Linked DNA regions of Drosophila melanogaster. The protein of the gene in region 2 interacts with the protein of the main gene of each other region in a pairwise test. Each region holds a gene or a part of one and is shown on either strand. Other genes may lie near its edges.

What was found. The genes of interacting proteins can lie anywhere in the genome.
Region 1: the proteins of Nf-YC (region 2) and Nf-YA interact in a two-hybrid assay, tested with the Drosophila melanogaster proteins (one large-scale study listed by BioGRID).
Region 3: the proteins of Nf-YC (region 2) and Clamp interact in a two-hybrid assay, tested with the Drosophila melanogaster proteins (one large-scale study listed by BioGRID).

The regions. Positions count from the first base shown.
Region 1 is NT_037436.4:9,439,556-9,444,144, reverse strand, and holds Nf-YA (nuclear factor Y-box A), read left to right. Parts: upstream 1-1,877; 5' UTR 1,878-1,982; coding exon of another isoform or gene 1,983-2,021; intron 2,022-2,178; 5' UTR 2,179-2,252; coding exon 2,253-3,452; 3' UTR 3,453-4,089; downstream 4,090-4,589. Other genes in the region: Srg3 (Sting-regulated gene 3), read right to left, coding at 781-814; Bet3 (blocked early in transport 3), read left to right, coding at 1,983-2,021, 4,585-4,589.
Region 2 is NC_004354.4:6,817,648-6,822,824, reverse strand, and holds Nf-YC (nuclear factor Y-box C), read left to right. Parts: upstream 1-1,905; 5' UTR 1,906-2,098; coding exon 2,099-2,142; intron 2,143-2,300; coding exon 2,301-3,669; intron 3,670-3,731; coding exon 3,732-4,124; 3' UTR 4,125-4,647; downstream 4,648-5,177. Other genes in the region: xit (xiantuan), read right to left, coding at 12-453, 521-631, 695-1,609, 1,665-1,732; iav (inactive), read right to left, coding at 4,669-4,819, 4,880-5,100, 5,156-5,177.
Region 3 is NT_033779.5:22,165,220-22,170,949, reverse strand, and holds Clamp (Chromatin-linked adaptor for MSL proteins), read left to right. Parts: upstream 1-1,806; 5' UTR 1,807-2,062; intron 2,063-2,306; 5' UTR 2,307-2,414; coding exon 2,415-2,570; intron 2,571-2,629; coding exon 2,630-2,830; intron 2,831-2,883; coding exon 2,884-3,313; intron 3,314-3,373; coding exon 3,374-3,647; intron 3,648-3,696; coding exon 3,697-3,900; intron 3,901-3,962; coding exon 3,963-4,398; 3' UTR 4,399-5,230; downstream 5,231-5,730. UniProt on the Drosophila melanogaster protein: Transcription factor involved in X-chromosome dosage compensation in males, the process by which transcription of the single X chromosome in the male is elevated. Binds to the DNA sequence (GA)n.

The sequences.
Region 1 (4,589 bases), on a different chromosome or scaffold from region 2:
AAACATAAAGAGTGCAATGTACGCACCTGGCGCCCTTATAACTGTGGTAAAGTGATCGATACGCCCCCTCAGAGTCCTGATCTGAACCCCATTGAAAATTTGTGGACCTACTTAAAGAAGAAGGTGGCAAAAAGGGACCTAAAACACAACAACAGCTTATGACTGTAATAGTCGAAGAGTGTGAAAAGATCCCGTTTGAATATGACCTGCAAAAACTTGTCCAATCCATGAAAAAAAGGCTTCAACTTGTAGCTAAAGCCAATGGGGAACATACTACATACCAAAACTTTTAAAATTTTAATAAAATAATTAAAAAATTTAGGTTTAAACTTCGATTTAGTGTTTTGTGTAAAGAGTTTCTTGACAGTCTCAAAAGTGTGTACACTTGGAATTTGTTGTTTATTTTCTTGTATATTTAATATTTTTAATTTGTTTTTTGATTTATAAGTAAAATAAATATTGTTTAATTATATTTTATAAAAAAATTGCGTTTAATTAAGCAAAAAACCCTTTATTTTTAGCTTTAAAGTCAAAAATTCAACTTATTTTACAGTGTGTAAACAGTTTCTTGACAAACTGTATGTATGTACACTTGCCACACTTTTTGGTGTTGTAATTATATCTTTCGGATCAGAAACCTCGCAATTTACGTGGCATTATAATTAAATATATTATTATTATTAAAATGTAACGAACATTATCCAAAATAAGATACAAATTGAAAAAAATACGGAGAACTAGAGTTCACTAAAATTATTAAAGGTTCCATAGGTTTCATACCTATGGCCCTAATATTGGAGGAAATATTTCCCATTGCGGTGGAGTTATTTATTATAGTTATTTTCACTGGTTATTTTATGTTATGGTATTTTCACTGGTGGAAGTACGGAGACTGAATGATATATGTTCTGCAGCCATGCAATATATATAAGTACAATTTATTAAATTTTTTAATCTAACATTGCTGTGGTGAGTATGGGGGTTGGGTCATAGCGTTTAGTATAAGTATTTTAAGTTAAGTACTTTTCTTGAGTGACATGGACTGGTAACATTAACATATGGCACAATATTTTAATTATTTTTACAAATAGCATTTAATTTTAAACTAGCATTAATTTCTTTTTATATTTTTGGATACCCCGTCAGAAGGACGAAAGCACCGGAAGGACAGAAGGACAGGAGTCATCGCCGGGGATAAATTGGAGTTTTGCAGCATTTAAATATAGCCGACTGTCCCACCCACTGTCCCTCCCACTGAAATCTTAATGTTGCAGATCTATTGCAGAAATCTTATTGTTAATAAAGCGGTTCATGACATGGATTGGTTGTGGTATTGGTACTAAAGAGGGCGGATCTTAAACTCCTCCCACTGTTATGTTATTATCTCAAAAACAGTGGAAAATTTTTAATGATTTTTTAATTTAATGAAATATTCCTGAAATGTCCTTAAGGTCTGAGGAGTTAAGGTTTGAGGAGGTCTAGCGTGCAAAATGTTGGGGAGCCGATTATTCTATCGCATTATTTTTTTACTTTCTTGAGCCCTATAAGTAGTACATAGATAGTTAGATCTGCCATTTTGAAACATTTTTGCATTTTTATTCTTGGGAATTTACTCCCAAATAACGTTAGCGCAAATTTATTAATTAATGTATTTATTAAATAAATTTATTATACTGATAACATATTAATATAGCAAAAAAAAATACGTTTTTGAATATATGTGCATTCTTTTTAAACTGCTGCACACATTTATTATTTTTTTGGACTCTTACAATACTTTTTCAAAAATTTTAAATATAACTGCGACTTTGAGCGATACTTTCACTTTTCCCGTGACGCCAACCGATATGCACAGCGCTTGCAGCCCTGGCCAATTTTGATGTGTTTCAGCATTGTACCCTGACAACCCTGCTCTGTAAAACTAGGAAAAACAGAAAATTTTATTTTCAATTGTTAAATATCCAAACGTAAACAGCCGGAAAATGTCACGACAAGCCTCTCGTTTGGACGCCAAGAAAGTGGTAAGTTGGCCAAAGAAGAGAGAACAGCGCAAGATCGGTATCGTTAGTCATTTGGAGGCATAGATCTAGTTGTAAGGTTAGATTTGTGCCATAGTGCCTAAGAACGAATCTTTGACGTGCCATCCACCCTCAAAATCGGCTTCATTCACTTTTCCAGTAAGTGTGTGTGTTGGGGGCTTGAGGTTGAGACACGGACACACAGACAGGCACAAGCCGACGTGCAATCAGGCAATGGAAAACCATTTCAGCGCCACCAGTCGCCCCTCAGCCACGCCCAGAATGTGCACCACCGCCTCTGCCGTCGGTGCTGCCGCCAGCGCCGCCGCCGCCGCCGGCAACAACAATAACAACAGCAATAGCAGCAGCAACAACAACGCAACAACCGGCAACAATTTAAGTGTTAGCACTGCAGCCGGAGGAGCCACAAATGCCGCAGCAACGGCACAACCCATCCAAGTGATACCAATGCCCATGCTGCCCACCGGAGCGGCGCAAATCATAATTGGCCAGCAGCCACAGGGTCAGGCGACGGCGACGGGTCTGCAGCCACAATTGATACCGCTGCAGGCCAACCAGATTATGCTGCAGGCTGCGCAGCAGCAGCCACAGATGCAGGTGATGCAGCTGCCCGATGGCCAGACTATATTCTATCAGACGCCCACCATTGCCGCCTTGGATCCGAATGCAGCGGCCAACGCCGCAGCTGCCATGGCAGCCCAGCCGACGCCGCACTACCTCAATATCAATGGGCAGCTGGTGCAGATCAATCCAGCACCGAGCGCTAATCAGGCGGCACCCACAGCTGGGCAACAGATTATAATGGTGCCGCAGACAGCGATGGCAGCGGTGAATGCAGCGGCCGCCAATGCCGGAGTAGGCGCCGGAGTGGGCACAGTGGTTACCCAACAACAACAGCAGCAGCATCAACAAGTACAATCCCAGACCCAAAACCAGCAGCAGCAGCAACAGCAGCAGACGGTGGCGGCGGTGGCTGCCAGTGCTGCAGTCAATAATATAAGCGCCGATGTCAGCACAAGTACAACTGGAACGAATACGAACAGCGAGGACGAGAGCTCCAAGGGCGAGGCGGACGAGGAGCCGCTCTATGTGAATGCCAAGCAGTACAAACGTATTCTCATTCGGCGGCAGGCCAGGGCCAAGCTAGAGTCGCGCATACCCAAGGAACGGTGCAAGTATCTGCACGAATCTCGTCATCGCCACGCCATGAATCGGGCTCGTGGCGAGGGTGGTCGCTTCCATTCGGCACAGGAGAAGGGCGACCAAGATTCGTCCGGCCCGGAAGGCGGCAGCATGCCAATGGCGTCCAGTGGCGGCGTCACCCTCAGCCGTGGCACGGCACGTGCTCCGCCCAAACTGATCGCGCCACATCAAACGCCCAGCATTACCATAACGGCGATCAAATCGGAATAGTCGCCTCCTAGCTGTAGGATACAAACTAGATAAGATTGTAGTCATAGCGTTTAGTCCTAAGCCAGTCGCTCTGTGTCCATTTGTCCTCAATCACACCACTTTAGTCGGCTCACATAGTTTTCATTTTTTTTTTTTTTCAAAATTAAGTCTTCATATATTATTTTCAAAGGGAATTTTTGGGTTTTTCTATTTATTTTCATTCACTTAGATTGGAAAAGTGATAAGTTCAAGAAAGAGATAATTGTTTTACTTATTATATTCATTTTCTAAATCGTTTCTAATTTCTAATATTTATTTTCTGTTAGCCAGCTGTTAAAAATTGTTTGTAATTATTAAATAGAGAATTTATTTCATTTACTAGACATTTTCAAAATTTACACAAGTAATGCAATTATTAATTTAGGGTTTATAGTTCATTTCAAAATGGAATGGGGAAAGGGCTGCCAATAGTCACCGCAAAACAACAGAGCTCAACAATATAAGATTCAACAAGGGTGAATGATATAGTCGCCTTCCCCGACTATCAGATACCCGTTACTCAGCTTTTGGAAATGCGAACTCGAAATTTCAAAAGTTCATAAATTTCAAACAAATTTTTTGGCAAATCGATAGAAGACTAATAAAATTATGAAAAAATATCCAAAAAATTTTCAAAAGTGTGGGAGTGGCAATTTTGTGCGGCTTGTGGGCGCTGCGTCGTGGTCTCTATCATTAACCTCAATATCAACCCTTTAGCGTTTATATTTCCTGAGATCTCTTTTAAACGGACAGACGGACATGGTTACATCGACTCGGCTACTGATTCCGATCAAAAATATATATACTTTATATGGTCGGAAACGCTTCCTTCTGCCTGTTACATACTTTTCAACGAATCTAGTATACTCTTTGAATCTACGAGTAACGGGTAAAGCACCATTGAGGACCATTTGCCGCATAATAAATGCAACACAGTTTATAAAATTAAAAAAAAAAAGCATATACATTTACTGCGGAACTCGTGAATGGCTACAGTTTTGTATATGGTACAGGCCTATAAAACGCTTTATTCTGGCTCTGGATTGATTTTTATTCGCTATCTGCTCTCTCCTCTCTTCCTCCTTTGTACAACAAACGAAAAATCAAAACACAGAACTC
Region 2 (5,177 bases):
TAGCGCTCCGTTTATTTGGTTTTTCGTTTTCTCTTAACAGCGGCCGCGGATGTGGACGATGCGATGGGCACCTTGCCCCAGCTAATGCCCAGAGCGTACAGATAGTAGGCCCCAAAGAAGTAGAGCACTCCCAACGCCGAGTACACGGAGGTCAGCAGTAGGGGCAAGAAGGGCAGGCGCTGGTCCAGGTGCAGCAGGAAAGAGAGCAGATGCTCGTACAGCGGAATAGCCATGAAGCCCAGCATGTATAGCCACTCCAGCGTGTGGAAGCCTCGGAAGCCGGGGAAGATGCGATACAGCTGGCCGTACATCATGGCCACGTACGACATGTACAGGGAATACCGGGGAATGTACAGATCCGCATCGAAGAGCAGCGGAAAGAGAGAGAAATAGCCGGCAATGCCAAGGACATAGGCGTATCTGGCATCCTCCCGGTTTACCAGCGTGAGCAGACTGAAAAAGGGTGGGCCTGTTAGTAGGATTCCTTCATTTCGAATTAACTGAGGGGAAGGGAACTCACCAGAGCGGAAGGAGCACCATTAAGATGGCCTTCTCGTGCACATGCCAGCCGAAGACGAAGGAGGAACAGCCGCACAAAACCACCGCTCGCAGGAAGACCAGCGGACTTTGTCTGCAAAGAGATGGCGGATAAGTTTGCTGCGATATCTTGGAATCCAAACGAGGATTTCCTCACTTCTTGGCACTGCGAAAGAGCTTCACCAAAATGGGCAGCATGAAGAGAGCGGTCAGGGCAAAAGTCACAGGCGGTGTGATGGCTGGCAGCACCGAGTGCCTGACCTCCTGGACCAATCCTGACGTCGTCGAGGCACCGCCATCCTGTACCTTCAAAACTCCGGCGGCCAACTTGTCGGCGGCATTGTACAGCGCCCAGAAGTTGGGTGCCCAGTAGGCGTGCGTTAGGCCACGCTTGAAAGGAAACAGACGGGAGAGGACTTGCGGCAATTGCTGCCAGAAGGGTCCGAAAGACACGGCGAACGGAGTAAGTCCAACGACCAGCAGCTTGACAACGGCACCCACCGCAGACACCACACTCGCTTGCTCCAGGCAATAGAAACGCAGCAGGTAGACCCCAAAAGCGGGCGCCATGTACAGAAAGATGTGCTTAAAGTTGAGCAGCACGGCGAAGGCAAAGGCGCTCCAGAGGAACCGCTGCCGGATGAGGGAACCGATGCTCAGGAGCAGTATGCCGAACAGCAAGCCATTGTACTGAAAGTGAATGTGGTCCACGAAGATCAATCCCACGTTGAGGAGCAGCAACATGGAGGCGGCAAAGAACTGCTGCGTATCCCTGCCCAATCCCAGTGAGCCCAGGCAGCTGCGCACGCCGAGCACATACACTAGATCCGTAACAATCACCGAGAGCCGCTGAAAGTAAACGGTGGCCTTGGACTCGTAATTCAGGTTATCCACCACCAGCATTCGTGGATCCACGTACTTGGCCACCTGCGAGAGCAGCCACTCGAAGTAGGCGAAGAACGGCGGATAGTCCAGTGTCCACTCGCTGGTGGCGTCCACATACCACTGATTCAGCGGCAAACTGTGGGTGATGGCCAGCCAGTTGCGATGGACTTCGAAATCCGTGGAATGGCTAAGGATGAAGTTGATTTAGTGGGCTTGATAAGTGGACAGAGCACTGCATTTACTAGGCTGGAATCAGCAGGATCTTTAGGCCGGTGGCTATGCCCACCAGGTGCCAGAAGAGGTCCTTCATCTTCGTTTCTCTCAGGGATTGGGATTGTAGTTTAGATTCGATGCATTCCTTATCAGCGGTAAGTGCTGTCCGATCTGGCTTGAAAGCGGGCAGAATGCGATTGTCGATTGTGCCGGCTAAATGTGGCTTGGAAGTAGCCAGTTAGCCCGACTAAAAGCTATCGTTATCGGGCTGTCCAGTTTTCGCCCTCACCGCCGCCTGGTCACACTGACGCTCGCGTGTATGCATGTGTGTGTGTGTGCATTACATTACGCATTTGCTTTGCGAATTAGAAGCTAATTAAAGCGAATATTGTGGACTCGAGCCGGTCGCCAGAGTCCCACGGTTGCCGCCAACGCCGAGCTAAGGTCTCCAGCCAACCGGGCCATGTACGCCACCAACAATGGCGGCACGAACAAGGCGCCAAACAGGTAAGTTCCGCCTCCGCCAGCAAAATCTAGCGCCCCTCCCCCAAAAAAACAGGCGGTACAGCCGAGATTTTTAGTGTGTGCGCCGATCCTTTTTGTTTTCATTCTGCGATTTGTGCATGCCAAATAATTTGAATGAAACTAATGTGAATGCCCTACAGCAATGCCACCTCCATGTTCGACAACACCATCACAGTGACGCCCATAAAGATGGAACTGGGCCAGGCGTATGCCAAATCGCAAAATTCAGCGGCTATGCAGCGAAGAACACCGAATGCAGTGGTGGTCACCTCCTCCTCCACCGTCTCCTCCGCCCAGCAGCAGCAGCAACAGCAGGGCCAGCAGCAACAGCAGACGGTTCCCATGGCCAGTTTGGTGTCCAACGCCTGTACGCTGGTTAATCCCAGCATGAGTGTGACGGTGGCCACCACCGTTGCGAGCGGCGCCAAGGAGAAGACCACGAAGGCCACACGAACTCAGGTGGCACGCAAACCGCCGCCCACCATCGACAACTTCTGGCCAAATATCGTGAGCGAGGTGCACAGCATCGGCCAGGTGGATGCCAAGCACCAGGTGCTGCCGCTGGCGCGCATCAAGAAAATCATGAAGCTGGACGAGAACGCCAAGATGATTGCCGGCGAGGCGCCGCTACTGTTTGCCAAAGCCTGCGAGTACTTCATTCAGGAGCTGACTATGCACGCTTGGGTGCACACCGAGGAGAGCCGGCGGCGTACGCTCCAGCGTTCGGACATTGCCCAGGCCATAGCCAACTACGACCAGTTCGACTTCCTCATCGACATTGTGCCGCGCGAAGAGATCAAACCGTCGTCGGCGCAAAAGACCAAGGATGGCAGTACATCCAGTTCGAGCGGAATGGCGGGCGCAGCCAGCAGTGCCGCCTCCACCTCCAACACAGCCACCTCCAATGCGGCCGCCTCCGTGGCGGGCAATGCTACCGCCACGGGCAACTTTGTAGCCAGTGGTTCCACCGTACCTGCGACCACCGCTGGTGGCCTCAAGCTGGACACCACGGGTGCAACCAATGCCGCCGAGGTGCTCGGCTTCAGCACTGTCAACTCGGACATCTTCTCAGCGCAACTGCAGCAGCAACAACAACAGCAGCAACAGCACGCCGCCCAGCAGCAGCAGCAACAACAGCAGCAGCAACATCACCAGGCACATCCACAGCAGGTTCAGATTATTCAGCAGGGCGCTGGTGGCCAACAGTTGCAATACTTTATCGCACTGCCGAGTCAGCAGGCGGCGCAGCTCGTGCAGCAGCCGCAGCCCGCGCAGAATCATCTACCCATCAACATTTTGTCAACCCAACAACCCACCCAGCAGTTGATACTGACCGCCGGTCCCAATGGTCAGCTGACCGCAACGCCAGCGCCGCAAACGACTGCCCAGCAACAGACGGCGCTGCTCCAGAATCTCGCCCAGCAGCAACAGCAGCACCAGCAACATCAGCAGCAGATTCAGCTGCTGCAGCAAGTGGTTACGCCCACGGGGGAGCTGACTAATGTGCCGGTAGGTATCACTTGAGGTAATTGTATTGAATCCCAGATTAAGACTTGCCTTTCCCATTGCAGATCGCCATCAATGCCAGTCATTTGAATCTCCTGCAGCGACTACAAATGCAACAGCAGCAGCAGCAGCAACAACAGCAGCAGCAACAGCAGCAGCAGCAACAACAGGTCATCATACCAACCCAACTGCTGACGACACAGCAACTGCTCCAGCTGGGCGGAGCACCCACAGTGGCCCATCAGCAGCAGCAGCAACAGCAGCAGCACGCCAATCTCACGCAGCAGAGCAACGCCAGTGCGGTGGCCAGTGGCACGCCGATCTTTATCAACTCGACCATGACTGGTGCCCAGGCGGCGGCGACGCAGGCGCAGCAGCAGCAGTCGGCGCAGCAGCAACAGGCACAAACGATCTCCACCATGTCCACGGATCGCACATTAACCGGCGGATTTCGGTAAAAGCTGGAAGTATGATATCCGTACCAACGGACGGACGGACAGACGGACAGTTGGCAATCATATCGAAAGCATCGGGAGGCATTGGAATCGGGCATTGGCAAGCGGGCATTGATTGCGCCATCCCCTGTCATCCAGCACAATGTATAATATTATAGTTTACGTAGGTGTATACGATTGTATATCGCGGGGGAGATTATATATAGCTAGTGTCTAAGTCGTAGGCATCTGTGTAGAAACGATTTCTCAATTGTAATTTATTGCTGACCCTCCCGCCCCCTGGCAGCAGGTTTCACCTTCTCCAAAAAAAAAAACCGCCACCTCCACCACTTTTAAACCTAGCACTTAGAGAGAATAATGGGAAATCGAGTGTATTAGTGTATGTATGTGACGGGTGACGGATGCCACCGGTCCAAAGCATAACCCAGCGTTTCGCGTGGCATCCGCGCTCTTTATTATGTATTTGTACTTCTAACTAAGCTAAGATCTGATAAACAATTATAAGCCACCAAGGACTATGTGCCAGAAACTCCTGCGCTAACTGTATTCACTTTCTGGCCAGGATCTTGTTGATGTCCTGCAGTTCGCGGGTGCTCCATGGTTCCAGCGGATCGGGCGGCGATTGCGTTCGCCGCGTGTAAGCGGAACGTCCCCGCTGGCTGCGCTCGTCCGGATCATCGCTTTGCTCCGGCGAAACTCTGGCGCCCAAGGAAAACGTGGGATTAAGATATGAAACGGACACTGGGATGGGAACTCACTTGTTTCGGCGACGAACACGAGCACTTTTGGCGCGACGAGCGGCCTCATCCTGTGCTGGCTGGCACTTGCGCAGGTGAAACTGCTTCATAGTGGCGTGCACCTCCTCCGCCGTGGGTATATCCTCGCTGTCCTGTCCACCATTGCCGTCCTCGGTCTCCACTTCGGCTTCCTGTTCGATGGTCAGCACCTCCTCCGCGACGGCTTCATCGAAGTGGAAGCCCTGCTAGTGGGTTTACATTTTGCACTCAGCTATTTCACTTTTTTTATCCACTCACCGTGTCCACATCCAGGCCAGGT
Region 3 (5,730 bases), on a different chromosome or scaffold from region 2:
GCGGGAAAGATATATATCTTAATGTAAACACATAATTAATTTCTAATTTCTTTTACATCACAAGCAGCTAAACAGATATACATATATTTCATTTAAGTTCTATTACCACCAAATTATTTTTAAATAAGAGAGAACGCTTAAGCAAATTTGTTGGACATTGAGATACCGTTTACACAGCCAGAAGGAATGCAAAATATAAACAATGAAAACAAAAAGTTTTGGGTGTTGAATTGGTCGTGGCGAAATAGTTCAAGCATATCAATACAAATTATCAAGAAAAACAACTTAATTTTTTAAGATAAAGAACTTTTCAAAAGTATACGAACAGAAGGATTGGTAGCCGAAGACAAGAATATAAGCACGTTATAATGCCCGAAACGCTTCCTTCCGTTCCTTCTGACATAATTTTTTCCAAAACCATACACATAATCGTTCGAAATCACTACCATAAAACTTGTCTTTTCATTCCTCAAAAATAGCTAATAAATAAGCTTACTATCTCAAGACATTCCCTTAAATGCTGTTGTCATAAAAAACATTTGACCACGTTGGTTGCCTTGCCAACACTAATAAATTTTTGAATTTGGGCGCCGAGAGTATTTAAATCTTTTGGAAGCTGAAATTTTCCAACACCAAACAGGACTCGCAGAACTTTGTTCATCCAGGATCTTAAGCTCAAAACCAAAACGTATGCGAATTAAAATTGCTGCTATTTAATTATTTAAAAGAATAGTTTTTATTTTTTATTAATTAATATTTATTCGGCGACAGACTTCCTCACTTATACTATTACAAGACACTTTATTACTAGCTTATCTTTGATTTGAAGCTGTTCACGATCTCGTCCCGACTCAGACTGATCTTCTAAATCTTAATCCTAATCCACTCAACCTCGGCCAGAAGCTTTTCTTTAGGATTCTCTTAAGCTTTTTAATATGTTTAGGATAAAAGCTTTACACTGAAATTATTTCCCAGCATTGTGAAATTCAAATTTGCTGACTGACGCAGTTTGACTGAAGCGCAATAAGTTGACCATGGCTTGGTCTCCAAGTGGAAGTTGTGTTTACTTTAAGTTTGGTTATATATCGGGTGGCTAAGTGTTGGCGTCAAAAACAAGGGCAAAGGCAACGCTGCTGAGATTGGAGTTAGAAATTTGTTTAGCTTTTGGTAGAGTGCTATATTTATGGGTTGGATAACTTGCGTCACTACGTGGGGCATAAAAAATCTGTTGTCCCTTAACTCACTCCCCTACATCGAGTGATAAAGATAAATAGGAATTCCTAAAAGATTTAAGTATACAAAAATAAGTACGTTTTATATGGAATCTTTAAGAATTAGTTAAAAGTCGAGTGCCTGTAAAATTTCGTTATCTTATGGAATTTGTTATCAACCATGGCCCATGATCTTACCAAAGACACTAGAATATTCTAGTGTCTTTGCTCTTACAGTGTTACCTTAGCTTGTAGAATATTAAAAGTTAAGTCTCAATAAATTTAAAACGTGTTTTTAACGCAGCTCAGCACAAGATATTTCTTTTCGAAAGCTAGTAACAGCCAGATTCTACTGATCGTAGCGTTTGCCTTTTGAGTAAGAGACAACATGTAAGACAACATGTGATGTAATCCAAATTACGAAGTACAAAACGTATATAAAAATATTTATGTTTTCTGAGTTATCGAATTAGTGTAAAAGGGCTCTAAGAAATCCTACCAGTTCTTTGTGAATTTTGGTATATTTTCGAGGGAAATGATTATTTTCATGAGTCGTGAAACGGTCACACTTTTAAAAAGTAAAACTGCTGCTCGTCTGCTCTATCTCTGAGCGTTGTTCTGTCTCCATCTCTCTTTAGCAATCGTAAAAAATGATGGACTGAAAGTTAAAGTGCTGGAATTTGTTAGAAAAAGATAACACTATTTAAATATATATCTTGTATTATTCCAAACAATATATCGTTAAAATACGTTATCAATTCACGAATACAATTTTACACCACTCAAATCTTAACAATTTTATTGTGGAGCAGGCAGTGCGCAATTTATGGTGTGGTCCGGTTGCGTAAAAGGTAATTTTAATAATGAAAAAAATAACACATGTAGTGTAATATTGTATGATAAAAAAACAAATGTGCTAGACTCCAGTTTAGATACTAGAGTCTGTTAATGTAAAGAGCTGCTGCATTAAACGTTCGTCTGTGTATGTTTTGTGTCGCGTATGTACATATTTTTTGTCTCACCGTCGCCATTTTTAATCAGTCGTTTTCGCTGGGTTCCTATGGCACTATATTCATCTCTTTTTCTCTTTTATAGAATTAGCGTCGCGTGATGCAGTGTTGAAAAGCGCGACAGAGCTGCAGTAAATAAAAGGCCAACGTATGATAAAAGTTAATTTTTGAGCATACTCGAATTTTGGGGACCATGGAAGACCTTACCAAAAACATTATCTTCACAAATGCCATTAATGGGCAACCGGCCACAATTCAATACCAGACGGCGGATGGCACCATTCTTAAACAGCCCAAAATAGAGGGCCAAAAAACGGAGCAGCAGCCTACCTTCTATTACACGACAAATGTAAGTAGTTTACTTACTATATGTTATTGGTGCTGACTTTTCATATTGTCTTCACATAGGGCAATGGCGGTACCGTCAATCTCGCACAGCTGGCCACCACAGACGACAATAAGACGTGTTATATAGCCCAGCCCGTGGGCGGATACAATTACGCCCTGGTCAACGGAATGCCTCTCAATCAGGGTGCAGCTCTTGGCATCGCCACGGTAGACGCACAAGGCCGCATCCAGATTGTCAATCAAAATAAGCCAATTGCAGCTGTATGTAAAAGGAAGACTCGTTAAGCAAAGCCTAAAGATTTTCTTCTTTGCAGAACACCATATCCAACATAAGCTTTAAGTGTGACGTATGTTCAGATATGTTCCCTCATTTGGCACTTCTTAATGCTCATAAGCGGATGCATACAGACGGGGAACAGCAGCAACAACAGCAACATAACGCCCAAGCGGGCGGCGATTCTATTGCCGTGGTCAGCGCGCAGGGGCTTGTGCAGGCACAGAACATTATTGGAAATGGTCAGATGGGCCAGATACAGATTGTGTCTTCTGACACGCTGGAGCCGGTTCAGCAATCTGTAATGCAGCAGCAGCAACATGAGTCAAAGGCAAGCAAGTGCATAAATTGTGGAAGCTCTATGCTGCAGCAGTCCAAACGCAAAGGTCCAAAGCAGGTGCGCTGCGAGTCCTGCATGCAGGCTGAACAAACAGCGCAACAACAACAGCAGCTCTTCGTCGCCCAAGACGGTAGTTGTGAAAGATTACATTCTAAATGGACCATAACTAACTTCATCGCATCTTTTGCAGGTCAAATGGCGCATCCCGTGCAAATCATATCAACGACTCCTCAGGCCCAAGCACAACTTCAGCAAATTGTGGCTGCACAGACTGGCGGTACAACGCCAAAGCGAGAGGCGAGCAGTGGGTCTGGCCATCATCCTGTGAAAAAACGAAATTCCCAGCAGATGACCAAATGCCAGAAATGCAATGGCTCCGGCGTGGTGCTAGTGGGGCAGCACTCCCATGCTTCACACAGCGGGGTGGGCGGATCGGTAAAGCAATCAGTTACTGTTAAAACTGAGTGAGTATAACATGAAATTGCAACCTTATCCTACGCTAACAAAACCAAGGTGTTTGTCCTGCAGAAATCCGTCCAAACCCTTCAGTTGTAATATATGTGGTGGTCTGTTTTCACGTTACTCAAGTCTGTGGTCCCATAAAAAGCTGCACAGCGGTGAAAAAAACTACAAGTGCAGCATCTGTGGATTGGCCTTTGCTAAAGCCGTATATTTGAAAAACCACGCGCGCATTCATACAGGCGAGAAACCCTATAAGTAATACCAATCTTCTACTTGAAATTATACTCTTTATACTAATTACCGTTATCTTTACATAGATGCCAAACCTGCGGCATGCAGTTTTCACAGTCACCACACCTCAAGAACCATGAACGCACGCACAGTGGCGAGCGGCCCTATGTGTGCGGTGTTTGCGACAAAGGATTTGCGCGCCACGCTACTCTTTGGAATCATAGGCGCATTCACACGGGCGAAAAGCCATACAAGTGTGAAATTTGTGGATCGGCCTTTTCTCAGGCGGCGCACCTTAAGAACCACGCAAAGGTGCACTCCGGAGAAAAACCCTACAAGTGCGAGATTTGCTCTGCAGCATTCGCTGATCGTTTTGCACTCAAGCGTCACCGCGGCATACACCAAAAGTACGGCCAAACTGCTCCTCGCCAGACCAGCAGCGATGGGATGATAGTGCATAAGCAGGAGATTCCTGACATGGAGGATGAGGCCCAACAGGAAGTGATTATCGGTGGGTTATAGATAGTTTAAATGCAGAGGTGACAGGCAGCTTAATGAAGTCACAGACACTGGAGTCCACCCTGCTTAGCTTCAGTTTATCGAGCGTTACTATGATCATCTGCCTCCACCTATGCTAGCCCCAGAACCATCTCTAAGGGCGCATATATCACCACAATGATATTAAAGAATAGAAAACGATGTTCCATCGTTAACACTTCAGCTGCATATGTCCTTTCTCCACTTTCATGTGGGATCTTCAAAAATGGGCGAAACCCAAAAACGCTTTTTACGATAAGCATACAAATGAACCTAATTTATTTGATAGCTTGTATAATATACTTAAACATCTTTAAACATTAAACGCATATATGTATAGGCATCGTATTTATAAGTGTTATAGGCTATTCTCTTATACAAATTGTAGGTGTAAAATATGGATTTATTAGGTGACGATACGAGCAAATCCGATACGTATGAATATGCACAGGTAATAAACACACACATATAAGTTGAAAGTTGTAAGCTTAAATATATTTTAATTAAATCTATCTAATATAAGTATGTATTAAATAATGCATAAAATCAAATAAATATTTGAATAAAATACAATTTTTTACTAACCTACTCCATTTGCAAGTGCCTTAACGAAGAATAGAGGGATCCCAGAAATAGGCACATTTTCCACCGTTTTCGACGTCTTATGCGTTTTTTTTTTATTAATGTAAGCACCATTTCACTTTAAATATAATTTTTTTAGTGTTTTGCCACGTTCATCTTATTCTTACGTGAAGCTATAAGGTCAGTAAATTTTAATGTTGGCAATAATATAATTAATAAATACACAAAACTTTAAATATTCATAGACGTAAAAGAGTAAAATAAAGTTAAAATTTATCGAAAATTAGATGATGTGAATTACTGCTGTCTTTTCAAAAAAATTAGAGCTGTTGATTTGTAAAATGGACGCACTCTTTTAAACTTCTTATATTTATATTTTTGCGTATTATCTGTTAAAAATAAAATATTTTTACATATTTAAAGTAAAGTTGTGAAGTGGCAACGAATTTTTTACAATAATCAAAACCAAGTGTTTAAGAATTAGGATTCATGGCTTGTATAATAAAGCTTTAAATTACTAGAATTCGCCATCAGTTAAATCAAGATAAATACGTATACGTATACATTTGCGAACATGGACTTTGCTTAGGGTCCATTTTTGAATTTGCGGTCATTACAAACTTATATTCATATGTATATAGGATTATTCAAGAATGAATACATTTTAGTTACACGGGATTGTAGTTTTGTTTCTTTTAATGTCAACTGGTTTGCATGCACTATGCAATCATGATT